Linked DNA regions of Callithrix jacchus. The protein of the gene in region 1 interacts with the protein of each later gene in a pairwise test. Links are inferred from orthologs where the notes say so. Each region holds a gene or a part of one and is shown in the gene's direction. Other genes may lie near its edges. The genes, in order: EMILIN1, MTMR9, BEX5, BEX3, ZC2HC1C, placenta-specific protein 9-like and NMI.

Evidence for each region.
Region 2: the proteins of EMILIN1 (region 1) and MTMR9 interact in binary tests that used the Homo sapiens proteins (3 or more experiments, as listed by UniProt). The link is inferred for Callithrix jacchus from reciprocal best matches to the Homo sapiens genes EMILIN1 and MTMR9.
Region 3: the proteins of EMILIN1 (region 1) and BEX5 interact in binary tests that used the Homo sapiens proteins (3 or more experiments, as listed by UniProt). The two-hybrid records come from large-scale screens. The link is inferred for Callithrix jacchus from reciprocal best matches to the Homo sapiens genes EMILIN1 and BEX5.
Region 4: the proteins of EMILIN1 (region 1) and BEX3 interact in binary tests that used the Homo sapiens proteins (3 or more experiments, as listed by UniProt). The two-hybrid records come from large-scale screens. The link is inferred for Callithrix jacchus from reciprocal best matches to the Homo sapiens genes EMILIN1 and BEX3.
Region 5: the proteins of EMILIN1 (region 1) and ZC2HC1C interact in binary tests that used the Homo sapiens proteins (3 or more experiments, as listed by UniProt). The two-hybrid records come from large-scale screens. The link is inferred for Callithrix jacchus from reciprocal best matches to the Homo sapiens genes EMILIN1 and ZC2HC1C.
Region 6: the proteins of EMILIN1 (region 1) and placenta-specific protein 9-like interact in binary tests that used the Homo sapiens proteins (3 or more experiments, as listed by UniProt). The two-hybrid records come from large-scale screens. The link is inferred for Callithrix jacchus from reciprocal best matches to the Homo sapiens genes EMILIN1 and PLAC9.
Region 7: the proteins of EMILIN1 (region 1) and NMI interact in binary tests that used the Homo sapiens proteins (3 or more experiments, as listed by UniProt). The two-hybrid records come from large-scale screens. The link is inferred for Callithrix jacchus from reciprocal best matches to the Homo sapiens genes EMILIN1 and NMI.

Annotation. Positions count from the first base shown.
Region 1 is NC_133515.1:87,938,476-87,942,820, reverse strand, and holds the start of EMILIN1 (EMILIN-1), read left to right. Parts: upstream 1-1,267; 5' UTR 1,268-1,716; coding exon 1,717-1,886; intron 1,887-2,847; coding exon 2,848-2,967; intron 2,968-3,742; coding exon 3,743-3,963; intron 3,964-4,345. UniProt on the Homo sapiens protein: Involved in elastic and collagen fibers formation. It is required for EFEMP2 deposition into the extracellular matrix, and collagen network assembly and cross-linking via protein-lysine 6-oxidase/LOX activity.
Region 2 is NC_133514.1:10,730,690-10,734,488, reverse strand, and holds part of MTMR9 (myotubularin-related protein 9), read left to right. Parts: intron 1-1,587; coding exon 1,588-1,751; 3' UTR 1,752-3,799. UniProt on the Homo sapiens protein: Acts as an adapter for myotubularin-related phosphatases. Increases lipid phosphatase MTMR6 catalytic activity, specifically towards phosphatidylinositol 3,5-bisphosphate and MTMR6 binding affinity for phosphorylated phosphatidylinositols.
Region 3 is NC_133524.1:98,239,052-98,243,218, forward strand, and holds BEX5 (protein BEX5), read left to right. Parts: upstream 1-1,272; 5' UTR 1,273-1,495; intron 1,496-1,555; coding exon of another isoform or gene 1,556-1,743; exon of another isoform or gene 1,744-1,903; intron 1,904-2,036; exon of another isoform or gene 2,037-2,182; intron 2,183-2,267; exon of another isoform or gene 2,268-2,330; intron 2,331-2,420; 5' UTR 2,421-2,485; intron 2,486-2,914; 5' UTR 2,915-2,944; coding exon 2,945-3,280; 3' UTR 3,281-3,498; downstream 3,499-4,167. Other genes in the region: T-complex protein 11-like X-linked protein 2, read right to left, coding at 1,556-1,743.
Region 4 is NC_133524.1:99,447,536-99,451,004, forward strand, and holds BEX3 (protein BEX3), read left to right. Parts: upstream 1-1,173; 5' UTR 1,174-1,249; intron 1,250-1,651; 5' UTR 1,652-1,730; intron 1,731-2,084; 5' UTR 2,085-2,113; coding exon 2,114-2,449; 3' UTR 2,450-2,697; downstream 2,698-3,469. UniProt on the Homo sapiens protein: May be a signaling adapter molecule involved in NGFR/p75NTR-mediated apoptosis induced by NGF. Plays a role in zinc-triggered neuronal death.
Region 5 is NC_133509.1:109,982,968-109,987,417, forward strand, and holds the start of ZC2HC1C (zinc finger C2HC domain-containing protein 1C), read left to right. Parts: upstream 1-1,421; 5' UTR 1,422-1,549; exon of another isoform or gene 1,550-2,384; 5' UTR 2,385-2,403; coding exon 2,404-3,756; intron 3,757-4,450. Other genes in the region: ACYP1 (acylphosphatase-1), read right to left, coding at 1,022-1,184.
Region 6 is NC_133513.1:43,250,172-43,253,915, forward strand, and holds the end of placenta-specific protein 9-like, read left to right. Parts: intron 1-1,825; coding exon 1,826-1,949; intron 1,950-2,471; coding exon 2,472-2,482; 3' UTR 2,483-2,959; downstream 2,960-3,744.
Region 7 is NC_133507.1:79,070,357-79,074,155, forward strand, and holds part of NMI (N-myc-interactor), read left to right. Parts: intron 1-1; coding exon 2-97; intron 98-2,864; coding exon 2,865-3,027; intron 3,028-3,799. UniProt on the Homo sapiens protein: Acts as a signaling pathway regulator involved in innate immune system response.

The DNA of each region.
Region 1 (4,345 bases):
GTCCGAGGCGGGTGGATCACGAGGTCAAGAGATGGAGACCATCCTGGTCAACATGGTAAAACCCCGTCTCTACTAAAAATACAGAAAATTAGCTAGGCATGGTGGCGCGTGCCTGTAATCCCAGCTACTCAGGAGGCTGAGGCAGGAGAATTGCCTGAACCCAGGAGGCGGAGGTTGCGGTGAGCCGAGATCGCGCCATTGCACTTCAGCCTGGGTAAGAGCAAAACTCCGTCTCAAAAGAAAAAAAAAAAAAGAAAGGTTTTCTCTCCCTGCCTACGTGCCCTCCACTGTTTGACAGAAGCCTGCCTCCATTGCCAAATGCCTTTCTTCCTCTTCTTTTTTTGAGACGGAGTTTTGCTCTTGTTACCCAGGCTGGAGTGCAATGGCGCGATCTTGGCTCACAGCAACCTCCGCCTCCTGGGTTCAGGCAATTCTCCTGCCTCAGCCTCCTGAGTAGCTGGGATTACAGGCACGCGCCACCATGCCCAGCTAATTTTTGTATTTTTAGTAGAGACGGGGTTTCACCATGTTGACCAGGATGGTCTCCATCTCTTGACCTCGTGATCCACCCGCCTCGGGCTCCCAAAGTGCTGGGATTACAGGCGTGAGCCACTGCACCCGGCTACCTTTCTTCCTCTTCTATCATCTCTGGATTTCCCGTCTGCCTCAGTGGAGTCTTTGACCTTTTCCTCCCTGGCCCAACAGCCCACTCTCCTCTCTTCCTTTCTCCTAAGTCACTGACCTGGTATTTAGTGTGTACTCTCAGCCTTACCACTAACTTGCTGTATTACCTTGGACAAGTTACGCTCCCACTCTGACCTCAATTTTCACATCCTTAAAAGGAGACTAGATGGCGAGTGAAGTCCTGCTGAGCCCTCCAAGCTCATTCTCCCTGTCCAGTCCTCCCGTCCTGCCCTCCCCTCTGGGCGCCCTCTCTGGGGCCCTCCCTCTCCCCCAGGAGAGGCCGGCTCCAGTCCCAGGAGAGCTGAGGCTCTGGCTCCTGTTCCCGTCAGAGTGACCAGCCCTGGGCCTCCTCCCCAGCTTTGGCCCGGGCTCCATGTGGCCCGTCTGAGAGGCTGGCCTCAAGCCCGGCGGCATTTCTGTTTTTCCTTTTTTTCTCCTCTTTCCCGGAGTTAACAAGAAGCAGATGTGGCGCACGATGGTTGGAGAGGTTGGGAGAGGAAGGGGGAGGCCAGACCGCCAGCCAGACGGGGGGAAGGGAGGGGAGCCAGCAGGGAGGGAGGAGGCCAGGGCCCGCCCCACGGCCATTCTCGCGCCTCCAAACAGCCGCAGGGGCAAAGCCCTGTCACCCCCAGGATCCTGTCATCAGGGAAAGAGGACAGGGAGACCAGAAGAGGGCCATCTGGGACAAGGGGGCGGTCGCGCAGGACACAGCTTCAGAGAGCAGCTCCTGAGAGGGGCAGGGACGGGGCGCGGGAGCCCAGAGGGGGCACAGAGAACAAACCCCCTCAGAAGTGAAGAGGAGAGCGGAAGGAACCGAGCAGGACGGACAGGAGCTGAGGAGAAAAGAGGAGGGGAGAGGGGTCAAGCCAGGCAGCCAAGAAGAAGGCGTGTGGCCGGGGGACTGCCGGCAGGAAGCCGGGTCGGACGGGACGGGCTCGCGCCCTCCTGCAGAGCAGCGGCATCCCCGGGCCGGCAGAGGCGCCAGCAGCCGGACGGGATGAGTCTCTGAGGGCCACTGCGGAGCGCCCCGCCATGGCCCCCCGCGCCCTCTGGAGCTGCTACCTCTGCTGCCTGCTGACCGCAGCTGCGGGGGCTGCCAGCTACCCTCCTCGAGGCTACAGCCTCTACACGGCTGCCGGTGGGGCCCTCAGCCCCGGGGGGCCCCAGGCCCAGAGCGCCCCCCGGCCTGCCAGCCGCCACAGGTAAGAGTCTGGGTCCCAGCCCGAGGCTCCGGTGGTGAGAAGGGGGTCAGAATGCTGCCCCCGCCTAGCTCCCTGCCCTGGGCTGTGTCCGATAATGCAGGGCAGAGGGGAAGTGAGGAAGCCCATCCATCAGGTGGCTCCTCACATGCCCACCTTCCAACGAGGCCTTTTCCAGGATCCCCTGAGCACATGCGCTCCCTGGGTAACCTAGGGGCTCTGCTCCCACATCCCCCTGTGGAGCACCAGAGCCCTGCAGTTACATGCCCAGGGAAGCTGCCCTGAGGGGCATGGGCCAGGACTTCCTGCCAGATGCCTTGTGTCTCCCAGCCCCAGAGCCTCAGGGAGACCTTCTGTCCCTCTCTGGGACTCCCTTGGCCCCATCCAGTAATCTATAATTCTGACACCACTCCCGCTCTGTTCCCTCCAGCCCTCCAGCCAGACATAGATCAGAGGCCGGCATGAATGGGGCCAGGAGTGAAGAACTGCAGGCCCCAAGAGGGTCAGGCTCATCAATGGCTTATTCTCTACTTAACCTGGAGCTGGTCTGCTCCCATCCCGGAGGGGTGGGGTGGAAGCCGGTGTCCAGGAGATCACCCACAGGGCCCTGGCTGTCGTGCTCACACAGCCTGCCAAGCTGGGGACTCAGATACGGCCAGAAAGGGACACGCATGATCGGGTACCTTCAGAGGTTCCCTAGGACCCCACCGCCATGGGGACTGACTGCTCTGTGGTTGTGGTTTTCCATTCTGCGCCTCTCCCTATCTTGAAAAGTCTTCATCTGCTCCAGCTACACAGGAAAGCGTGGGGGATAGGGAGGATGCCCCTGCCAAAGGCCTTGCTCTCATGGATCCCCAAGGGTTCTGCATCTTTTGAACCATTCTCAGCCCCTCTGGTAGCCCCTGGCCCCTCCCCCAGGGCATGTGTCTTTGATTGTTGGATGCAGAGGGGGTTGTACCTACAGGAACTGGTGTGCCTATGTGGTGACCCGGACAGTGAGCTGTGTCCTTGAGGATGGAGTGGAGACATATGTCAAGTACCAGCCATGTGCCTGGGGCCAGCCCCAGTGTCCCCAAAGCATCATGTGAGTCCCAGGGCTGAGGAATGGACCCTTGGTGGGAAGTGGGTGAGGGCAGATGGTGGGTGGCCAACTCAGGGAATCCGTACAAAGCAGGGATCAAGGGCAGAGCAGGGCTTGGATCACAGCCATTTTGAGGAGATACCGAGGCAGCAGTTTGGCTTTTGAGGAGATACTGAGGGCAAATCTGCCTCATCCACCAGCCCCAGAAACCTTCTCTGGGGTGGCTCAGGCTCAAGCAGAGGAGCTCAAGGTTCCAGTGCAGGGCAAGGGAAGGAGGAGCAGGGATTTAGCCCTTGGTTAAAAAGCTGACAGCTAGGCTGGGCTCAGTGGCTCACCCATGTAATCCCAGCACTTTGGGAGGCCGAGGTGGGTGGATCACCTGAAGTCAGGAGTTCGAGACCAGCCTGACCAACATGGAGAAAACTGTCTCTACTAAAAATATAAAATTAGCTGGGCGTGGTGGCTCATGCCTGTAATCCCAGCTACTCAGGAGGCTGAGGCAGGAGAATCCCTTGAACCCAGTAGGTGGAGGTTGCAGTGAGCTGAGATTTTGCCACTGTACTCTAGCCTCGGCAACAGAGCAGACTCTGTCTCAAAAAAAAAAAAAAAAAAAAGCTGACAGCTGTCAGCTGAGCAGGGCCACATGTTGGACAGTAAGAGGGACCCAACCTGAAGGACAGGTCCTGCCCACCAGCAGCTGCTCAACCCTAAGGACAAGGACCAGGGTCACATGACTGGCAGTACAGGGAGGAATAAAGAGGCCTCCTGCCTCTGCCAGGTACCGCCGCTTCCTCCGCCCTCGCTACCGTGTGGCCTACAAGACAGTGACGGACATGGAGTGGAGGTGCTGTCAGGGTTATGGGGGCGACGACTGTGCAGAGAATCCTGCTCCAGCACTGGGGCCTGCATCTTCCACACCAAGGCCCTTGACCCGGCTTGCCCGCCCCAACCTCTCTGGCTCCAGCGCAGGCAGTCCCCTCAGTGGGCTGGGGGGAGAAGGTGAGTATGGGAGCTGCTGTGGGGGTGGGAAGTGCCAGATAGTGATCCGATGAATTGGGGAAATGTGGGGCCAGGCTACAGGGGAATCCCCCATGCCCTATGCCAGGGAGAAGGGGAACAGAAGGGAGTTAATGAGATCGCAGAAATTCCCTGCCCGTGTGTGTGTATGTGTGTGTATTTGTGTGTGTCTGTATGTGAGAGAGAGAGAGCACCCAAAAGGTGGAGAGACTGAGAAAAAGAAGGCTGAGAAAGAGAATGTGCTCACATACGCCCACAAGTGGCCAAGATCCTTCAAACAGCTGCAGGAAAAAGGGGACATTCCTTTGAGAAGCTTGGTCCATGGGGACAGACAGTTGAGACTACAAATCCTAGCATGCATTGC
Region 2 (3,799 bases), on another chromosome or scaffold:
GATTGTTGTCACAGTCACAGTGTAGGGCTCGTGAGCTCTTAAATGAGAGGTTACAGGTGTACTTCCTATTCAAGACTTCTGGGACAATGTACCTAAAAGCGACTGTCAGGTTTAATAACTGATGAGAGTAGCTGTTCGGGAGAAAAGCCACGTTGGCAGCTGGGTGGCCTGACGGATGATTTCACTGCTTTGTACCAAGTCTTGGGAGCTTAGAGACAGATGATGGGATGCAATCCTTGTTGTTCTGTGGAAGAATTCCTGCCACACTGGAGTTTCAGTGTGGGTTCCATGCTCCTCAGCCTAGAGCTGGGAGAAGCTCTCTATTAGGTAAAATCCTACAGTAGGCATATATATTGAATGAGACTGCTCTTCGGCCTTAAAATGTCTCTCTGCTGTTTACATTTACATCACAGATAACCATTAATATTTAGTAATTCCTGGATTGAGAATATAGGTTCATATAATAGAAAAATCAGCATGGGTGGGTCAGGCTTTAGGCTGTGGTTCTGCTCCCCCTTTCTGATAGAGCCTGACATTTGCACCTGCATAGAATGGCTCATTAGGACCCATGGCAGTTTGGTTTGTAGAAAGTGTTTTAATGAATCATAAAACCTTCGTACACTTGCCATCTGCTGACACGGTATGGCCTGGCAAGTTTTCATGCCTCCTTACTCGAGTATCTGTAAGGCCTTATTTTGGTATGATACAGTTAACATAGGGCTACGGAGTGGAAACATATTTCCTTCTAGTTCATAATAAAAGGATAATTGTTATTATTTGGGAAAGAAGCGGTTGGCTGCAGTATGGAAAGATTGCCTCTGAAGTAACCGAGAGAGAGTCTGTGAGCACATGTGCTACAGCTTAGGCTTTCAGATGACAGCCTGTGTGCTGGAGTTGTCACTTCCCTGGTGAAAATGGTTTCACACATTTAAGAGATCTTACATGTCTGAGTAAAATTCTATAATTATAAAAATAAAGGATTTGTATTGGGAAATCGGAAAGTTTATGACATTGTAAATTATCAACTTGTTTTCCTGAATATATCATAGAATGGTATTTGGATCTACTTGATAATTTCGTGGGATATTTCCAAAGAATCAATGAGCAGGTGCATACAAGTAGTGACTTTTCAGATATTGTGTTCAGTTGCATTATTTTCAGTACCTCAAGATTCCTGTATATTTTAGAGTATAATAAGACACAGATGTGAGTTGTGGAAACAAGACAAAATAATGTATTTGGGAGGCCGAGGTGGGCAGATCACAAGGTCAGGAGTTTGAGACCAGCCTGACCAATATGGTGAAACCCTGTCTCTACTATAAATGTAAAAAATTAGTCGCGTGTGGTGGTACATGTCTGTAGTCCCAGCTATTCGGAAGGCTGAGGCAGGAGAATTGCTTGAACCCAGGAGGTAGTGGTTGCAGTGAGCCGAGATTGTGCTGTTGCACTCCAGCCTGGGCGATGAGCAAGACTCCATCTCAAAAAAGAAAAAGGATGTATAATACATAAATTATATTATCCACAAATATAATTTTAATCCATTGTATATACCTTTCTTCTTCTGTTTTCCATTCCTGGATTCAATAGGTATTTTCCTACGTTGGAATAGATCCTCTAAGTATTTGGATGAAGCATATGAAGAAATGGTTAACATCATTGAATATAATAAGGAATTACAAGCAAAAGTCAATATCCTTAGAAGGCAGTTGGCAGAACTGGAAACAGAGGATGAGATGCAAGAGAGTCCCTGAAAGGTCTCCTCACACCCTTCGCAAGGACCTTCCTGGGCCTGTGTCCACCTCTCTCTCCTTGTGCCCTTCAATTCACTTTTATACGGTAGCCTTGAAGTGAAGGCTTTAGACGTGGGTCCCCTCTAATGTAACGGATTTCTCAATACTGTATGAATAATGAAACTATCATAACTCATGTTTCATGTGGCCTGTTAGGTCCTGTCACTTGGAGCAGGAAGGAGGTGCTAGTCATTTTATTTTTACGTGAAATAGATGACCTATTTAATGCCATTTGTGTTCACGCCATTTTATCCAAAGCTTTTTTTCTGTGTCCACTCCCTAAACAGCATTCTAGAGCAGTCAAGGAGACAGTTAATCTCTCTAGGGACTATTTGGTGGTTTAAAAAAAGGGTCAGACTTTTAAACACTCTGAGCATAGAAATGTTTCTCAAAATAGTAGTGACTGATAAAGCAAGAATTTTGTGTTTAACATACCATTTCCAGTGTCTTTGCCACATAAAATACCTATTTTCTTCAAAATCGTTTTGGACTAACGAAGCTGAATCTGTTCTCATTCTTGTTTGTCAAGAAAGGAAAATCTGTTGTTGAAGGTAAATTATTTCTTCAAGCGCAACAGGTGCGGCCCTCTGATATTTACATTGAGAAGAGTGAAATTTATTTTCAGGTAGACACTAAAAGTATGTGCAATACAGAAGTAAAGTAGGAATTTGTTACTGGTTGAGAATTGCTACTGTTGAATTGTTTTTATTTTAGGTTTTGACCATACATAGACAATGTGTATCAAATGCTGGTTGTAAAATTAAATCATCATCTAGAATAGAGTTAATTTGTTATAATCAAGCTACACATACGGTTTTCTTAAACCAGAGGTGATGCACTGCCCTTGTCTAAAGTTCTTACTGCACTGGTTTATGTGTGTATGTGTGTTTTACTGCGTGTGTGGTTTTAGTTTGTAAGTATTCTAAGAGTTTACTAATACTAACGTTAAAATTCTCATGTTAACCTGAGCCTTTTGCAGATTTATTTTGACTCTATTGATTTGTCCATTATGTGTTAAGCAAATACAGCTTAAGTGAAGGGGGAAGTTTATAAACATGAAGTAACTCTGTGTTTCCAACTTCAGGACAGATTGGAGTGTTTCAGTGTTACAGAAACAGTGATGGCCGTGTTCATGCTCTGCTAGTTTATGTCTGCAACTCTAAATATTTGTGGTTTGGTATTTCGCACCTACATTTCTGTTAGGTGACATTGCTCATTTTAATAAATACGACCAATTCTAGTTTTTCTTTAAAAGGATAGTCATGAGTAATCTTTAAAACCATTTCTGTACCATCTGTATATAACCATTTTGGTAAAGAACACACCACACTGAACCCTGCTTTAGAGCTGTGTGTTAAGCTAAAAACGTAATTTTTTTTAAATAGACTAGTAAAATCTGTGGCCACATTGAGAGCCTTTGAAAATGGCAAATACTTTTTTCATCACCAGTTGCCCAAGTTTTATCTTTCTTCTGCTTCCTCAGCCTCGTAGCAAAGGCTGGACAGCAGCCCATAGTCCACAGTCTCTTTGGGAGAATTTGCCTGCTGCCTTCTTTAAGCTCAGTTTATTCTTGACTTATTTCTTTGCTGTAGTTATGAACCTTGAGGCATTAAAACCCCATGGCAAGGAGCATAAGAGGTGTTCTTATATCTCTGCATTGTGTGAAGTGTCCGTCTTAGTTTTGTAAAAAAAAGAAACAGCCTCGCTTTTTTGTGTCCCTCAGAATTGCTTGCTATGTCTGTTAATACAGCTCACCCTTTTGTTTTCTCCTCTTTTTGTCTCGAGATTGTATGTGAAGGAGCCTTTTTCTTCTCAGCTAACAGGCATGTAAGGAAAACCATCTAGAGAGTTTTCTTTAGAAGTGACTCCCATTAGCTGTGTGTGTGCCTGTAGTCTCAGCCACTAGGGAGGCTGAGGCAGAAGGATCCCTTGAGCCCAGGAGGTTGAGGCCGCAGTGAGCCATGATCACATCAGTGCACTCCAGCCTCAGCAACAGAGCGAGACCCTGT
Region 3 (4,167 bases), on another chromosome or scaffold:
TCTTTTTGTGCAAACATCTAGTGTTTATTTTTAAGTGTATGAGAATAATAAGGCACTTCATTGTTTTTCAAAATAGCCGATTATTCTGACACAATTTCTTCAATTTAACCTTTCCCCACTGATTCAAAATATTTCAATCGATTTAATAGCATTTTTCCATATTTGGGTTTGACAATAGGCTTTCTTTTCTCATTAGTTCTATATTTATTCCAGTACAATATTATTTTAACATTGTAATTTCACAATATATTTTTAACTTTTAAGTTCAGGAGTACATGTGCAGTTTTGTTACATACGTAAACTGATCCTCTCCCTCCTCCCACCCTCCATCTTCCTGTAGGCCTAAGTGTTTGTTTTTCCCCTCTATGTGTCCATCTTAATACATTTTCATCTGTCAGGGTGGCTTCCCCAAATTATTGTCCTGAATTCTCAGGGCTGTTATTGTAAGGTGAAGTTACACTAATACAATTTAGAGGAGATCGTCAGTTTGTCACAAGTTCTCAAGATATGAAAACCCACCAGCAAGGCTCTATTAGACTCAACGCATCACCTCATGGAAAGACGTGCAGATAGAGATCCTTCACAAGAGAAACCACCCTTATATGGCAAAGTCCTTAAAGGAGGTAGGGGAGTGCATTCTGGAAGGTCTATATTTATAATATGATTCAGCAGTCGAAACAGATTGTCATATTTTTACAACTAAAATCCTGTTTTTTCAACTGAAAATAATTGTATTGTCTAGTAATAAAAACAACAAAATGAATGCATGCTGATGAAAAACAAAAGGATCCACCTTCCCAAATAAACAAAAAGGAAAGTAATTGAAGTGAAAAAATTTTTGAATGCCACTTCCTACCTATTTTCCAGACTTCCTAGCCTCGTGCTCCCCACCCCTTCTTCGGGTTCCAGTCTGGGACAAAGGCCTGCAAAACTGTTAAGGCTTTATTTTCTGGGATGCGAAGGTGAGAGAAGTGTGCGTTTAAGGATATAGAAGAGGAGGAAGCGATTATTTAAAAGCTCCAGCAGAAAACAGAGAAAGCCAAATACAAACTACAAAATATTATGACCCGTTTGGTCTTGGGGATCGCTAAATTAAAAAATAGAGGGGTGGGTGGTGGTGGAGAAAGCAAGAATCAGGAGAAAGGTGGCCCCGCCCACAGTCCCGTCCGCACCCTCCTGCCGCACTGCGGGATGAATGGTAATTGGAAATCTGAGCTCACAGTGACGTGGCCCTTAGGAGACCCAGAGCCAACGCGTTGATTAGTCTCTCCTAGTTGCGGTCTGGTAGTCGTCGGTGGCAGTGGGACGGCTCGCTGTTGCTCTGAAGGCAGGCGAACCAGCTGCCCAGGAAAGGAGGAAAGTGGTAGAAGCCGACTCCACAGGAGCTCTAAGCAGGTTGGTGGGCTCTGAGCGGTGTGGGGGCGGCAGAAGGCAAAGACAAGAGCGGGTCCACGACTGGATTATCGACCCCTTTCCAGATACACAGCAGTTTAGCGTGAGAAATGGATCGGTTGGGGAGGGGATCTCCCAAGGGGCCCGGATTGAGAATGCATACCATTTGAGATCTCCTAGGAGGCTGACGATCAGGCAATGTCTGATTGAGTCCGGCCGGGGGAGGAGACTGCTAGGAAATGGCCTGCTTACTGCATGGCCGCCAGAGGGAGGTGCAGCAGGCAACCAAGGGATGGGGAGTGCGGACCCTACCAAGGTTTTAGGCCTGTGTTCTAGGTATCTTTTCTTCATCCTTTACCCATTTAGAGCTGGAAATGATAGGCTACGGGGGCCGAGGAGAGGAATTGCTGCAGAGGAGGGGGACAGAGATTAGGTCTGGAAAGCAGGTCCCTACTGAGGCAGTTGGGCGGGCGAGCTTCTGACTGAGGGACAGAGGCTAGGAGCGAGAAACTGTTTTTGGTCCCAGCAGGTAGGTCGGTGTAAGCGTCGGCGCTGCTGTAGATCCTGGAGTGAGAATGACAAAGCGCAGAGACCGCAGCAGGTCGTAGTTTGCAATGCCCACATACCTCCCTATCGTCCATCTTGATGCATAAAATGGTGGGCAAAGGAGTAGGGCCTGACGGATACCTAGATTGAAATTCTCTGTGAATAAACCACATATCCGTTCAGCAAGCTCTTCTAACTCCCCCGCCCGGCAAGATGCATTCCAGAAATGGTAATTTGGTGACAGGTAGGAGGAAATAGTAGGGATGAGAGCCTAAAGAAGAGGTTAAAATGTTTTGGAAATAATAATCTTTGATGCCTATTTCTCGAAGGTGGGATAGCCTGTCACAGGTTGGGAAGAGAAGCCGTGAGACAGGATGGAGGAGAAACAGAAGGTGCTAATACTAGGAGAACCATAAATCAACTCCCAGCACCGGTTCTTTGATCAAATGATCAGTCCTGGTAATTGTCGCATTTGTCTTCAGGTCTTTTAGTACGTTCGTGCAGCAGATTTCAAGACTAAGAGAGAAAGACTGCCTCATCCCTGCAGGTAGGTTGCCTGGGGCCCTCTGGTGTAGGGGTATCAAGGATCAGAGTAGAATCTTGGTGACTCACGGCCCTTCCTGCCCGAGTTAAGTGCAGGAGAAACTTAGGAGAGTCTTCAAAAACGGCAAGCCTGTGTCTGATGAGGGAAGAAGGGAGTAAAGGGGCACTCCTGGAGAGCTTATTAGGATCCCAGGGAGCTGAATGAAGTCTGGTCTTTCTATGATTGTCACCCTCCCGCAACTCGTCCTGCATTTTGGTGGTAGGAGTGGCCTGGGCAAGGGATTTTCAGGGAAAATGGTGGGCTTTGGGGCAGCGCTGGGTCTGGGGTGTCCCCTACAGGGCTCACAAAGTTTCTCAGCTGGGAAAACTTTTCTCAAACAGAGCTCTGAATCCTACCAAGTATTCATTCCCTCTTATGTTTTTGATCTTCTAGGAAGAAAAAACAGGAAATAAAAAACTCAACATGGAAAATGTCCCCAAGGAAAACAAAGTTGTGGAGAAGGCCCCAGTGCAGAATGAAGCTCCCACTTTAGGAGGTGGTGAAGACCAGGAGCCTGAAGGAAATATTAGAGGGGTTCAGGCTCCACGTGCCCAGGATTTTGGAGAGGATGTGCCCGATAGGCTTGTTGATAACATTGATATGATAGACGGAGATGCAGATGATATGGAACGGTTCATGGAGGAGATGAGAGAGCTAAGGAGGAAAATTAGGGAACTTCAGTTGAGGTACAGTCTGCGCATTCTTATAGGGGACCCCCCTCAGCATGATCATCATGATGAGTTTTGCCTTATGCCTTGAATTTTGAGGTTAATAATCATAAAATCCCTGCTTTCCAAATTTGCATTTTTCCTAGTATACCTTTAATGTGAACCTTTTGACATTCTTCTGCCATTTTCTGATTAGAGATTGCATTTAGATCTAGTCTGGAAGTTTTTCTGTCAGAAGAGGATTTTCATCAGCTTTCATGGAAAGATGTTTATTGCACACTTTAAAGTTAATAAAGCAATTTAAAAGTAGTCTATAGATATGCTATTTCATTTAGAACCATATGTACGCGCACTATATATAAAATATATAATTTATGTGAAATATATATATATGAAAACCAGAATGTGCTTTTTCTATGTCGTATAGTTACTGGTACTTTTAAATTTCTTTATGTTTTTTATTGGTTAGCTGGTTTTTTTTTCTCACTTTTTCAAAATTAATACCTATGTTTTGTATGTATCACGAAAAAAAAAAAACAAGAATCAACAAACTTGCCAATCAGCTTATACAGGGAATGAGGACAATTAATAAACACTTGAAGCATGATTTAAAGACCTATAAATCTTATATTACCTGTAGATCTCTCATTTAGAAACATATATCTGATAATAACAGATACATTACATTATAAATGTCTTAGAGAGCTGTGTGGGAATCAAATGAGGTAGTGACTGAGCTCTGTGTCTTGCTCTATTTATACATGCAAGGCTCCAGCCCTCCAGGTGCCCTTCATTTTTAGGGAAGATTCCAAAGAGTGTACCAATCAGGAGTCCAATTGATTTATAGGTGAGTACAGGTTCAAAATCTGAAATGCTTGGGACTAGAAGTATTTCAGATTTCTGTTTTTTTTCCAGTTTTTGAAATACTTGCATGTACACAGAGGTATCTTGAGGATGAAACCCAACTCTAAACATGAA
Region 4 (3,469 bases), on another chromosome or scaffold:
ACTGTGGTATCAAAAACATCAAAGTTACATGAAATGGTGAAGATCTGAGGACTGGACATCTCCCTGAAAATTTACTTTACAGATCATTTTGAAAACACCAATTGTGTTCAGAAAGAGTGCCTACTTTTTATGAAGATAAAATTTTAAATGAGCTAGTAGGTATCAAAAGTAATGGTTTGATGTGTGTGGAGCTCAGAGAAAATATTTTGTGTGGTACAGGTCAACATAAACAGTGAAAGATTTCATTCTGTAGGATAAAGCATTTCCTTTTTTTTGACAGGATCTGTCACCCAAGCTGGAGTGCAGTGATGCAATCCCAGATCACTGCAACCTCTCCCTCCAGGGTTCAAGTGATTCTCCTGCCTCAGCCTCCTGAGCAGCTGGGATTACATGCGCGCGCCACCACACCCGGCTAATTTTTGTATTTTTAGTAGAGACAGGGGTCTCACCATGTTGGCCAGGCTGGTCTCGAACTCCTGGCCTCAACCGATCCGCCCACCTCGGCCTCCCAAAGTGCTGGGATTGCAGGTGCGCCATGGCCACCGGCCAGCATTTCCTTCAAAATTGAAAAGTTAGAATTTATAATTTTCTGAAGCATGCAGATTTTTAAAGAAAAGGAAACAAAAAGAAATAGATACTGCCCACTCCACTTCCTTGCCCCTCTTTCTGACAAGTGCCGTCCTGCCTTCCCACCTTTGCCCTCACTCTAAATTTTCCAGAAGGGTAGGACTTCAGGGGCTACATGGGCATTGGTGACTGTGCACATGCAAGGGGTAGGGGTGGGAATGCAGCGCAAAGTGACAGGTAGAAGGGAAGAGAAAGTAGAAAAGGCCAAAGCCAAGGCCTAGAGTGAGAGGAGGCGGTGGTGGAGGATAGTGCAGACTCTCCCTGGTAACCAGAGGAGAGCAAACTCCAACCGCAGAGCAGTGATGCCACTTGTGGGCCCTCAGATTGGAGAGGACAGAAGAGTGACAGAGCGGTGCGCTCTGGGGCACCTCACGCAGACGGGAGTAGGGAGGCTGCTTTTTGCGCGGGCATTTGGCGGCGGGGGTGGGGGAAAGGGGGGAGATCCTGCTGCACTGGCCGCCCAAGTTGAGGGGCGAGCTCAGCGGTGACGCGCGGCCCTCACGTGACCCAGAGCTGCAGAGCTACGCAGCCTTCGGTGCAGTCGTCACTCGCGTCTGGCTACCAGCTCCCCGCTGCCCTGCGCTCGGCGGGCTGGCATCCGGCCCGGGGAAAAGCGGAGCAGGTAAGATCCCCGGGGTCCGTGCACCCCGGCCTGGCCGGCAGCGGCTCACGGACCCCCGCGACGGGCGCAGAACAGCGCAGGGGGTCCCCGCCAGTTTTCTCCACACCCCAACATTCTTGGGAACATAGAGGCCACCTGGGGTGGGCAAGCTGGAGCGGCTGGGGTCCTAGGGGCAGCAGAGCAACCAAGAGCGAGGGAAAACCACCCCCGAGTTCCTGCAGGAAAACGTTGAACACCGCGGGGGGGTGGGGCGGCTGAGGGTGGGGGCGCGGAGTGCGGGACGCGGGGCGCTGGCCGCAAGGAAAGCCCGGGCCCGGGGCGGGGAAGGAGCTGGGTGGTGGATAATCCTTGCTAGCGTTCCGCTGCAGGAGCCCCCATCCCCCCACCCCTGCCCATCTGCAGGTCTGCGAGGCTAAGTGTCCCGGCGGCGCACCTCGGGGCGAGAATCCGGAGGAGGAGGAGACCGCAAGGATAGGCCCAGGTCGGTGCGAGGGACGGTGGTGGTGCGGGGGTCCGAGCGTGAGGAAAGCCCAGTCTGAGACCCCAGCCCTCTCCACCCCATCCCCCCACTCCTACACCCGTCCTCCATTTTGCTGCCTGCGAAGCTCTGAGAAAGAATCTTGGGAAAGGAAAAATGGTGGGTTTGGGGGAAGGGAGGTAAGGGGAGAAAGCTGGAGGGAGGGGCTCTAATTGGAGGCCCCCTAGAGGACGCACGGAACTTCTAAGGTGGGAAAATATGAAATTAAATCCTTTGATATCAGGGCTCTGAATCCTGCTGGTCAGTGTACCAAGCATTCAGTCTCTCTCCTTGCCTTTGTCTTACTTGTGTTCAAAGAAAAACAACCAGAAAAAAAAAATCTCATCATGGCAAATATTCACCAGGAAAACGAAGAGATGGAGCAGCCCATGCAGAATGGAGAGGAAGACCGCCCTTTGGGAGGAGGTGAAGGCCACCAGCCTGCAGGAAATCGACGGGCACAGGCTCGCCGACTTGCCCCTAATTTTCGATGGGCCATACCCAATAGGCAGGTCAATGATGGGATGGGTGGAGATGGAGATGATATGGAAATATTCATGGAGGAGATGAGAGAAATCAGGAGAAAACTTAGGGAGCTGCAGTTGAGGAATTGTCTGCGTATCCTTATGGGGGAGCTCTCGAATCACCACGACCATCATGATGAATTTTGCCTTATGCCTTGATTCCTGCCATTTATCATGAGATTAATACTGTGATTCTCGCTGTTTTCCTTTTCCTTGCATTTTCCTAATATGCCTTTACTGATCCGTTTGCTGTGAACCCTATGTTATTTCCATGTGTCAAGTGGGTCTTGTATTGCCAGCTTCTAATTGGAGATTGCCTTTGCACTCAGTCTAAGTTTCTGTCAGCAGTAGAGTTTCACCCATGTGCATGGAAAAATTTAAAGTTAATAAAGCAATTTAAAAAACAATCTATACATTTAGTATTGTCTCATTAAAAATGTATCCTTACATATAACAGATGAACTAAAAAAAAAATCTGAGATTAAATACACCAGAGTGTTAATTGGGGCATATTTTTCTATGGTAATTGTAATCCCAGCAATTTGGGAGGCCAAGGGTCGGATCACTGGGTCAGCAGATCAAGACAATCCTGGTTAACACAGTGAAACCCCATCTCTACTAAAAAAAAATACAAAAAATTAGTTGGGCGAGGTAGCCCACGCTTTTAGTCCCAGCTACTTAAGAGGCTGAGGCAGGAGAAATGCTTGAACTCAGGAGGCGGAGGTTGCAGTGAGCCTGAGCTGAGACTGTGCCACTGCACTCCAGCCTGGGCGACAGAGCAAGACTCTGTCTCAAAAAAAAAAAAAAAAAGGTATGTGACACTTTTTTTCTTTTATTATCTGGAGTTTGAGAAGCAATGAAAATTATTTTTAAATGAGATTATGAATGGATTATGAATGTAGTCCAGATACATAACAATACTGCCTCAACAAATTTGAAGAATAAACTTTATCTTTCACTCTTAACTGAAATAATAAACCTTCCCTTTATTACAGATACATTCCTTTAAAGAGCCTGTTTTCTGCTTTGTGAAATGGGGAACAACGCTTGTCTTACAGGGTTGCTAAGTGGAACTGATGAAATGTGGAACTGTGTTGGGCTGGCTTCTGTCCCCAACTCCCCAACATTTAATAGGACTGGGACCCCCACCAGGTACTTAGGGAGAACTGGAGGAATTAT
Region 5 (4,450 bases), on another chromosome or scaffold:
GGGTACTGAAAAAAACTAATTCGGGGCTGGGCATGGTGGCTCCTGCCTGTAACTTTGGAAGGTCAAGGCAGGTGGATCGTGAAGTCAAGACTACTAAAAATACGAAAATTAGCCGGGCGTGCTGGCCTGTGCCTATAGTCCCAGCTACTGAGGAGGCTGAGGCAGGAGAATCTCTTGAACCCGTGCTGGCCTGTGCCTATAGTCCCAGCTACTGAGGAGGCTGAGGCAGGAGAATCTCTTGAACCCGTGCTGGCCTGTGCCTATAGTCCCAGCTACTGAGGAGGCTGAAGAGGCAGGAGAATCTCTTGAACCGGGGAGGCGGAGAAGAGAGCTCATGGAAAGAAAATGGCCCTTCTTTCTCACAGGAGAGGGAAGGGGGTGGGAAAGAGAGAGAGAGAGAGAGGGGCAAGCTGGTAAATTCTGCCGCGGGCAGACCCTGAGTGGGGAGTGTCTGAAGCTGCACACATGGAGAGGCTGCACACATGGAGAGGCGGTGGAGTCAACTAGGGATGAAAACGAAGAATTAAAAACAAAAACAAAAACAGGACTGACCTGGAGGGTCCACCAAGGAATTTCTTTGTAACATGTAACAGCTGTAATGTGAAGTATTAACACTGATGACTACTGTCTACATTATTTTCCATGTGCATGAATTGAGCAGTTACAGGGAATAAGTGAACTGCCTGTTCCAAACGGTTTACACAGATGAACCAAAACGAAGAAAAATAAACCTTCTTTTGATGTCAACAAGTTATAGAGTATCATTTAGTGTTGAAACCAGGTTATACTGATTATTTTTCATCTGGTAGTTAACTTTATCATCATTACATTTGGCTGAGTCATTCCTGGGCCCTAAGTAGAGACGGCCAGAGTTACCACGTGAGAGTAAAACATTATAATATCAAAATAATTAGATTGGCCACAAAAGCTACCCCGGAAAGATACAGCGTAGCAAAAACGTCGACAGCAAGTTCCAAAGCCTTGGCGAGGACAAGCAGCGAGCGCGCGCGTGCAGCCATACCTGGGGCCCGCCCAGCGCAGCCGAGCGCGCCGAGAAAGGCCAGCAGCAGCCCCGCTCCCGCCAGGCGGGCGGACGCCTGCATCCTGCGGCGGAAACACGCGGGGGCACAGCCAGGGCCCCCGCCCTTTGCCCGAGAAAGGCACACCCCAGGGTCTGGGAGCATCGTTCTCAGTAAAGTACAAGTTCTTCTTTGATGGAGCCCCAGAAAGACTCTTCCCGCCCCTCCCCTGTTCCCCAAGGGCAGGGCTGGACCGAGCTGCAGAGTTGGCCGGACACTGGGTCAAGTGACGCCCGGACTGACCGCACCCCAGCCCCTGGCCGCCTGGGGTCGCTGGTGCACGGCGCCTGCGCGCGCCTCCCCGAGGAGTTCGCGGCGAGGGGCGGGGCTCGGCGCGCCAGTGACTCCGTCTCCAGGCACCGGGAATAACAGAGCCCAGCTGAGAGCGCCTGCGCGGCCGTCGGTCTCGGGGGAGGTCAGATTTGGGAAACTGGGGCCTGGGGGTTCCCCTGAGCAGGAGCGGTTCGCAGGTACAAGTTCTGGGTACGCAGGGCCTGAGGTATGCAGAAGGGCGGGGAGACTTGGGGTCAGTACCTCCACTTCCCAAGGGCCCGAAGGGCAGGAGGGCGAGAGGGCTTGTCCCCAAAGGCGGAGTCCGCAGTGGGGGCGCCACAGTTGACCCTTCGTGACAGAACGTGACTTCAGCCTTCGGGATCTAAAACAGGCCGCAGCCAGGTCAGGTGGCCTCAACGCTCAGATTACAAAACTTTTACCGTCTGCGCCACGGGGACTCCTGGGATGAGGGTTTGCCAGCCAGGCACCTGCTCCAGGACCCAGCAGCCTCTGTGCTCTTTGGAGTCAAGCATGGTTCCAGTAGGAGGGAAGACCTGAGAGCTCTTTGTGCCACTCAGTACCTCTGGGGCACAGCTGTCTCACCTGCAAAATGGCGAGGCTGGACTCGGAGGGAGCCCTTCAATTTACAGGTGAAGAAACAGGGCCCAGCAAGGCAGAAGTCACTTGTGCTGTTACAAGCCTAAATCCTGACTTTCAATCCGATGCTTTTTCCACCTACTATAGAGTGTACTGTGCGTGGCAGAGGCTGGTGGTGGAGGAAAGAAAGCCAGGTAGTAGAAACACCTGTGGCACCTTCGTTTTTTCTATCCTCAGGGCCTAACACAGTGTCTTGTGCATCATCATCACTCACCGAATGCTTATTGAAGGGAAACTTTGGCAGATCGAGCACCACTGTCCCTAGAAAAGTTTCAGGAAATGTGGGCAGGGCAAATGTAGAAATAGTTTGCTTTAGCAGCCAAGAGTGAATCTCAGACAAACCCTTCCCATGTATCTGGTTTAAATCTCTCATAGGCGTCAGTCCAGGCCCTGAATGGCTGGTCTCCAGTTGGCCTCACATCTGCCTGTGGGCGTTATGCTCCCACATAATACAACAGAAGCTCCAGGGCCCCACTCAGCCAAGCAAGACTCTTACGAACAAGGTGACTCTTCCGAACAAGGTGACTCTTCCCAGCAGTCCCTGAAGGGGCACCTGAGGAACAGTTTCCAGAAGAAGCTTTTGAGCAACAAAGAGTTGACGCTGGATAAAGTCTACCCTCACCCCAAATGGAACACACACGTAAAAGCGCGGAGCTACTCCTATCCCCACTGTACTGAAATCAGCCAGCAAGATCCAGGAAGTGATTCCCAGGGCCAAGGAAAGTGTTCGTTTTACTCGTCAGGCCCTCAATCCTGGTATCCCAAAGCCAATAACCAGGACTTTATTCCCTTGACAAAGAAACGAGTTGGGGTGGACCGGGCGTACCCACTGAAACCTGTGGTCCATCGGAAGTCGTGCAGTATGGGTGAGGCTGGCATGGATGGGGACCAGAATGTCTACCCAAGGCCCCCTGAGCTGAGAGCGTTTTCATCCAGCAACCCTGGTGTGAGGGACCAGGTCAACTTTTCCGTGACTGGTACTGTTCTTGCTGCGGTGCAGGAGGAGAGGGCCGCGGTAAACTTCGAGAGGACTGAGCTGGTGCAGATCCGAAGACTAGAAGCTGCAGGAGAGAACTTAGAGGAGGAAATCCGGAGGAAGCAGAGTCTTCTGAGGGGAAAGCTGAAGAAGACAGAGGAGGAACTCAGAAAGATCCAGAAGCAAAAGGAACAGGCCAAGGAAAATGAAAACAGAGAGCTACAGAAAATTATGCTACCCAGGAGAAGAGTTAAAGGTAATAATAGCAACACCATGTACAAACCTATCTTCTCCCCAGACTCTGAGTTTCAGGAAGAATTCGGTAGAGACAGGAGACAGGATGAAGCTTGGGGATGGTCTCAACAAAATTCGAGTCCATTCCAGCTCTCTGATTATAGAATCCAGAGGCTCAAAAGGGAAAGGCTGGTGGCAAGCAATAACAAAATTCGAGACCGAGTCTCAGAGCCGTCGATGGAGAAGTTCTCTCCGCCTTTAGAAACACCAGGCGGTTCTTTGCAGGGATCCACCAGAAATTCCAGCCTGTCCATGGCACCAGACTCCTCAGGGTCCGGCGGCTCCATTGAAGAGCCACAACTGGGCGAGTGCAGCCACTGTGGGCGCAAATTCCTCTTGCTCAGGCTGGAGAGACACTCCACAGTCTGCAGCAGGATGCGGGAGTCCAAGAGGAAAGTGTTCGACTCCTCCAGGGCCCGGGCTAAGGGCACAGAACTAGAGCAGTACTTGAACTGGAAGGGGCCAGCTTCAGCCAAGGTAACAAGAGCCTTATGGATGTGACTTGATGTGGGGATCATTGTAGGGGTCTGTTATGTCGTCATCAGTTTTCTTTAGGGAAAATTCATGTATCATGTAGGAAGAATTGACATCTAAAATTAACATTTCTTGATTACTACTGTTTGCCAGCATTGTGATGGGAGCTTTCATGTGATTCTCTCATTATCTCTCATTGTATCAATGTAAAAATCAAGACTTGGATAGCCTAAGTGAGTTGCTTGAGGTCACAAACAGCTTTAAGTGGCAGGGTCAGCATTTAACTCTTGGTTGGAATGACTAAAAAAATCTAGACCTAGAATTTGTGCCCTTTGGATTATAAAAGTAATAAACGTTTACTGTAGAAAATTTAAAGGACACAAAAAGGAAAAATGCAGCATTTTCGTTACCTGGAGAGAACTCCTCACTCTTTGCAATGTATTCTGCCACCTCCCAAGACTAGGATCTGTGACACTGCTTTAACTGTCTACTCTTTTAAGATCAGCTCAGTGTTGACATAGCTTCTGAGTAAATAGATGAAATACAACTAAGTTTGGAATTCTTTTTCACCCCATTTAGAGTATAAACACCTTGACGGTAAAACAGACTTTCTTTCTGGTTATCTTACAAACCATGCCCCTGCCAATTATTTCTCACTTTAGAAAAACTAGGTTGTAAAAAGTAAGGGCTTCACAAC
Region 6 (3,744 bases), on another chromosome or scaffold:
GAATTACAGGCATGTGCCACCACGCATAGCTGATTTTATATTTTTAGTAGAGATGAGATTTCTCCATGTTGGTCAGGCTGGTCTCAGACTCCCGACTTCAGGTGATCCACCCACCTCCTCCCCCGAAAGAGCTGGGATTACAGGGGTGAGCCACCAGGCCTGGCCTAGGATGGTGTTTTTATGGGCAGATGCAAGCTTGCTTTGGAATGTCAGACTGTACAGGCCAATCTTGCACTGTGGCTGCCTTGTCCAGCATCACCCTCCTATCTAGTCTGGCTGTCCAGCCCCCAGTGGACCCTGCTTCTCCTAAGGCCTTACTTGCTCCCATGCAGATAGATATTTCAGCATCAGTGCTGGATGGGAAGGTAGAAATTCAGTCACTATTTTGTTATTTAGCCATGATTCCTAACTTGTGGGGAAAAAAGCTTGCATTTGTATTGTTGCAAGCCTTTAACTGAAATTGAGCATTCCCGTTCCTCATAAATACAGACAGCAAGCAGTGGTATTAACAGTACTATAGCTTGGTCATCAAGAGAAATCCAGATCATTTCACCTTGTTCTAGTTATGAATATCTCAACACATTATTTATAACCTTCCTATGTCAACTTTTCTGTTGTTGTTAGGCCTGATGTTAAATCATGTGACTTAATAAATACATTTTTTTTTTGAAGCATTGTCTCCCTGTTACCCAGGATGGAGTACAGTGGTGCAGTCTCACCTCACTGCAACTTCCACCTCCCAGGCTCAAGTAATCCTCCCACCTCAGCATCCCAAGTAGCTGAGACTACAGGTGCATGTACCACCATGCCTGGCCAATTTTTGTATTTCTTTTTTTTTTTTTTTGGAGAAGTGAGGTTTTGCTATGTTTCCCAGGCTGGTCTTGAACTCCTGAGCTCAAGCAATCCGCCCACCTCAGCCTCCCAAAGTACTGGGATTACAAGCATGAGTCACTATGGCTGGTCAATATGTATGTTATATCCAAAAGTTTAAATTTTTATTTTACAGAGTCCTGCTCTGTTACCCAGGTGGAATTCATGGTTCAATCTCAGCTCACTGCAACCTCTGCCCCAGGGTTCCTGTGATTCTCATGCCTCAACCTCCCGAGTAGCTGGGACTACAGACATGCACCACCATGCCTGGCTAATTTTTTGTATTTTTGGTAGACATGGGGCTTCTCCATGTTGGCCAGACTGGTCTCAAACTCCTGACCTCAAGTGATCTGCCCACCTTGGCCTCCCAAAATGCTGGGATTACAGGTGTGAGCCACTGTGCTGGGCCAAAAAGTTTAATTTTTAATAATGAATAATATTTTAATGCAATCGATGCCCCTGGTAATTCCATATGCTTTATTTTTTGCATTTAAGGCATTATTCTGAGAAGAGGTCTGTAGGCTTCATCACACTGCCAGTGGGGTCCATGGCATACACAGGGGAAAAAAATAACTATTGAGAACCCTGAGTAAATTTCAAAATCCCAAATCTGTCATTCAGCAGAGACACCACCAGGGAGCAGAGCAACAAAAGAAATGTGAGCGCCAGGCTGCAAAGTCCCAAAAGGGAGAAGGTATTCTAAAGGCGTTTCACCCCAACCTGTGACTGAGTGCCAAAAAGGAAGGAGCCTTAGAGAGCGAGCCCGCTAGGATATTGTCATCTGGGGAAACTGAGGCAGGTAGGGGCAGAGCCTGAGTGAGGAAAATCAGTTCCCGCAGCGCCCAGTCCTTTCCCACTGCACCCCACTGGACCGCTAGCTGCTCCTTAGGGCCTAGCTGATGAAGCGGAGTGCGGCACCACTCCTGTCCTCGACTTTACCCCCTTCCCACAATAGATTGTAGAGAAGACCGTGGAGCACCTGGCGACAGAGGTGAAAGGCCTGCTGGGCCTGCTGGAGGAGCTGGCCTGGAACGTGCCCCCAGGACCCTTCAGCCCGGCCCCCGACCTCCTCGGAGAAGGTAAGCACTGCAGGTGGCAGAGGAAAGCCTCTGAACTGCTGTCATCTGGGGCTGGACAGAGGCGGGGGGGGGGGGGGCTGCTCCACCGCACAGGTGTAGGCTGGACAGCAGGGAGGGCCCCAGCGCCCCCGGGGACAGAAGCGGGACGGCATCACCCCTCCTCACCAACCCACACCCGGTCGCTGCCGCCCAGTGTCAAGACGAAATTCGGGAAGAGCCGGCCCTAGATACCATCTCCGCACACCCCAGCGATGAGAAGCTGCCTCCTTCACTGGCCTTCTCCGGACTAAAGCTCCTCAGCTCCTTTCATTTCCCCCTTAGAAACCCCTCCTGTTCCACCCCAAAACCCTCAGGGAAGACGGCACCCCACTGATCAGGAAGGGACGGAGTTGCACTTTGCTCTCTTCTTGATCCCGGTGTCCCGGAGGGCTGAGGAGAGGAGGGAAGAAACTGTTGGGCAGCACAGGCCAGGGACCCTGCAGCACCCCAGCTTGCTCACTGGAGGCCGCCGCTTTCTTTCAGATGGCTTCTGAGCCCCGGAGCTGGAGCCCAGCAGCTGGAGGTGGTGCCCTTGCCAGGCAGCACCCTCTGAGAGCCAGCCCTGTCCGCTCGCCTTCCTTCCGCAGCTTCGTGTGCAATAAAAGCTCCTCCTTCTGTCTCCTCTGTGTCTGCTGACAGAGTAACCCGTTTAACTACAGCCCCCTCTCCCTCCACTTCCATGCCTGGAGGAGGCCTACAACCCCCCCCCAGGCTCAGACCTGGGGACACCCCCATTCCCGCCATCTGTGCTTTAGTCCTCCTTAATTACAGGAGCAGATGAGCAGGGGTTGATTCACAGAGGTGGGGGCTCTTCGAGTGGCCTTGCGTCTAAAAATGTGGCCATAGGTGAAAAGCAAGGGGATCAGGGTCTCAGGCCCCACCCAGACTTCTTAATCCAAATCTCCATTGCAATGAGACCCCCAGGGAATTTATGTGTACATTAAAGTGGTTTGTTGTTTTTTTAAAAAAAATTCCTATGAAGTGAAATTCAATGTAAAATTCATCATTTTAACCATTTTAAATTGTACAAGGCTGGGGGAAGTGGTTTACACCTATAATCCTAGCACTTTGGGAGGCCAAGGTGGGAGGTTCACTTGAGCCCAGGATTACGAGGCCATCCTGGGCAACATGGTGAAACCCTATCCCTGCAAAAAATACAAAAAATAGCCTGGCATGGTGGCATGTGCCTGTAGTCCCAGCTACTCAGGAGGCTGGGGTGGAAGGATCACCTGAGCCCAGGAGGTCAAGGCTGTGGTGAGCCATCATGGTGCCACTGCACTTCAGCCTGGGTGACAGAGTGAGACCTTGTCTCAAAAAGAAAAAATCATACAAATGCAGTGTCTTCCGGTACATTCACAAGTTGTCAGTCATTACCACCAGTTTCAGAATACTGTTCAAACTCTAGAAAGAAACTCTGTACCTGTTATGCAGTCACATCCCATTCCCGATCCCCCAACCCCCTGGAAACCACCGATCTCTGTCGCCATGAACTTGCCTATTCTGGACATTTTAAATGCAGTAGCCCGCTTTATCTGTGGTTTCACTTTCCATGGTTTCAGTTACCTGCAGTCAACCACAATCCTAAAATACTAAACTCCAGAAATAAACAACATATGAGTTTTCAGTTGTGCATCATTCTAAGTGGCGTGATGAAACCTCTCACCTTTCCCCTTTGTCCCACCCCGGACATGAACGCTTCCTTTATCCACCATGGTCCACGCTGTCTACACTTCCTGCCTGTTAGTCACTTAGCAGC
Region 7 (3,799 bases), on another chromosome or scaffold:
GGGATTAATTGATGAAATTACAAAGGAAAATATTCAGCTAAAGAAGGTGATCCAAAAGCTTGAAACCGAGTTACAAGAGGCTACCAGAGAATTCCAGGTACTCTCTTAATTATTTTATATGCTACATTTTTGATGGACACATAGTTTTTGGGAAAAGCATTTTAATTATACAAAATTCATTTTTAAAATGTGTGATTAACACTCTGATGATAGACAGACATGACAACACCTCAGAAACCCCATTTGGGTTCCTTTCTGGGTCTTATCTGCTTCTAAAAGTAACCACTATTTTAGCTTCAAACATCCTGCTCTTGCTTAATTTAAAGGGAAGCCCATGGTATGCCCTCTTCTGTCTTTTTTGTGTTAACATTGTGTTTATGAGACTTGTGTTGCTGCATGTCATTGTGATCTGTTCATTCTTATTGCTGTGAGGTTGTACTGATGCCCTTGCTGTATTACTTAGGATACATGCATTTTCCTATTATTTATGCACACTTTAACAAATTTACAATAACAAAAAATTAATAAAATTTACCCAAAAAAGATGATCATTAGTAAATCATTGTTGGATCAAATTCTGGATTTTCTCACTGAGTTCTTTTCTTCTTCTTCTCATCCAAGGTGCTTTGGTAATTTAAATGAGTTTCACGGTTTAAAAAGTTGGACATAAATTAATCCTCACCATTTAAATTCTGTCCTAAATTTTTCTGTATTTTAATTATACATAAATTTCACTCTCTTTTCTTCTTAACAACTCAGATTGTTAAAAAATTAAAGCATTCATGTACCCCAAAACCTAAAATGCAATTAAAAAAAAAAAGGAAAAAAAAATACACATCAGATTTTGAAGTGTTAGGTTAGAAACAAAAATACAAAGATATCATTAATTTTGTATTAATTACATGTTGAAATGATAATACTTTAGATATATTGGCTTAATTAAATATATTATTAAAATTTCAAAAAAAAAAATTAAAGCATTGACACTTTTTGTTTCTGAAGTGGGAGATAGGATATTGAATATCGGGAAGTGAGGTTTTCTGTGTTTATGAAATGAGTGACTTTGTGCAGAAGCCTCTTAAGATTCTAGTTACTTCTCAGACAGAAGCTAGAATCATTTAGTCTTACAACTCAAAGAGCCTTTAGAAACCAGCCAGCCCTAGACGACCCACCTTGCAGAGGACCAAAACCGTGATCAGAGAGCTTAAGTGAATTTGCTCTCTGTCACAGTGGGGTCAGAAATAGAATCAAACTTTCTCAATCTAATTTCAGAAAGCCCTTGGCTCCTCAGCATATACTGGATATTTCTGCATTATTGGGTAACACTCTGCCTTTTCTCAGACATTGTAGATTGTTTTGAAGACAGCCTTACCGTAATCAGAATCTACACTGCAGTTACGTGTAAAGGCAAAGAATAAGTTTGACTCACTGAATATTTCTAATCTATTTGTATTACTGTCAGCATGCAAAATAACCATGGGAAATAGAAATGCAAGCACCCTATCTCATTTGTGGGCTGTATAAATATGCTAATCCCAATAATTCTAAGCAGCTAAGTATAACCACCTACCTTTATCTTTCAGGTTATGATTTTTTTTTTTTTTTTGAGGCACGAGTTTTGCTTTGGTTGCCCAAGCTGGAGTGCAATGATGCAATCTTGGCTTACTGCAACCTTTGCCTCCTGGGTTCGAGTGATTCTCCTGCCTCAGCCTACTGGGATTGAGTAGCTGGGATTACAGTACCTGCCACCATACTTGGCTAATTTTTGTATTTTTAGTAGAGACTGGTTTCAGCATGTTGGCCAGGTTGGTCTCGAACTCCAGACCTCAGGTGATTGGCCCACCTCGGCCTCCCAAAGTGCTGGGATTATAAGCATGAGCCACCGCACCCAGCCTCAGGTTATAATTTTTGTTCATACTGTCCCTTCTCATTTTTTATAAACCTAAGTTGTGGTGATGGTTAAAAGTTGACGGGCAGGTGTTGGGGAAGGTGGAATTTTAAAATTTAATAAATTTAAAATCATCTAATTCTGGCCTGGGTACGGTGGCTCATGCCTGTAATCCCAGCACTTTGGAAGGCCAAGGTGGGCAGATCATAAGGCCAAGAGATAGAGACCATCCTGGCCAACATGGTGAAACCCTGTTTCTACTAAAAATACAAAAATCACCTGGGTGTGGTGGCACACACCTATAGTCCCAGCTACTCAGGAGGCTGAGGCAGGAGAATTGCTTGAACCCAGGAGGCTGAGGCAGGAGAATTGCTTGAACCCAGGAAGTGGAGGTTGCAGTGAGCTGAGATTGTGCCACTGCACTCCAGCCTGGCAACAGAGCGAGACTCCATCTCAAAAATAAAATAAAATAAAAATAAATAATTAAAATAAAATAATCTAATTCTGGAGTCTTTCTTTTTGGATGAAATTATTTGGATTTGAAATACTAAATTATACCCAACTCTATATTTCATACTTTGCAGTGAAATTAAACATAATATCAAATGATTTCCTTTTGAGATAGTCTGTTGTTGGCACTTTTAAAAATAGTCCTCATCTACGTGAACGATGTAAGTTTTAGAATTGAGCATCATACAATATTGACAATTTAAACATTGATTAGAAAAAGTGAGAGGATTATATGTTTTAAATTTCATCTGTGAAATAATATTAAAAGATCATCATTTGATTACTCTACTGAGCACTTACATGGAAAAAAGCAATTACTAAAGATGTTAAGTAAGACCATACTCAGAGTTCTACAAGATTCTAAAATCAGTGGGAATAATTATTGGATGACCAAATTACATTATCATTGGAAGGACTTTAGTTATTTCTTGTCTTGATTTTAATCAAACATTTTTGTTTGAATTAGATTAAGGAGGATATTCCTGAAACAAAGATGAAATTCATTTCACTTGAAATTCCTGAGAATGACAGCCAGTTTCAAAATATCTCCTGTTCATTTCAAGTGAGCTCGAAAGTTCGTTATGAGTTACAGAAAGGACAAGCACTTATCACCTTTGAAAAAGAAGAAGGTATGACTAATGTTAAAAAATATGACCATGTTATTAGGAAAGCGCTTGGACTTTCAAAGATTTTTTCACAGACATTTAGCTATTGCTTTGCAATTTTTACTTATATTATTTCTTATCCTCATAGTGACACCCTGAAGCAGGTATGATTATTCCCATTTACAGATGAGAATACTGACTCTGAGACAAGTGACTTGAATATGATCTCTTATTTAGAAAGCCATGACTGTGGGACTTAAATTCAGGTGCTGTGATGTCCAACATCAGCCTCTTTCTATTCCACGTGCTACCTCCAAATAGTAATGATAGTAATATTTCACGGTAGTAGAACTATACTGTTCTCAGAGACATTGTGGCATTTTATACTCACACAATTCCATAAATGTAGGAGGATAGGACAGTTATTATTGTGTACATTAAATATAGACATGCCATAGCCAAGAAAACAGATTCTGAGGATGTTTAAGGGATTTACCTAAGGGAACATGGCTAATGAATGGAAAGAGACTAGGAGTTAGAGATTTGGAATGAGACCTGATATTTGCTAAGTCTGCCATGGTGAGGGCCCCTGTTCAGAGCTGGTGGTTCCTGAATGGGGAGGATCTGGCTTTGAGTGCCAGCTTTATCCCTTCCTAGAAGCATGATGTGGGATGGGTTCTTTATAAACCACAGAGTTTTATACAGGTGCTTTGTGGTAGTACCTACTTCATGAGGCTGCTTTGAGTATTAAATGAGAAATGTTGATAAAATACTTAACACAATGTTGGATACTTAA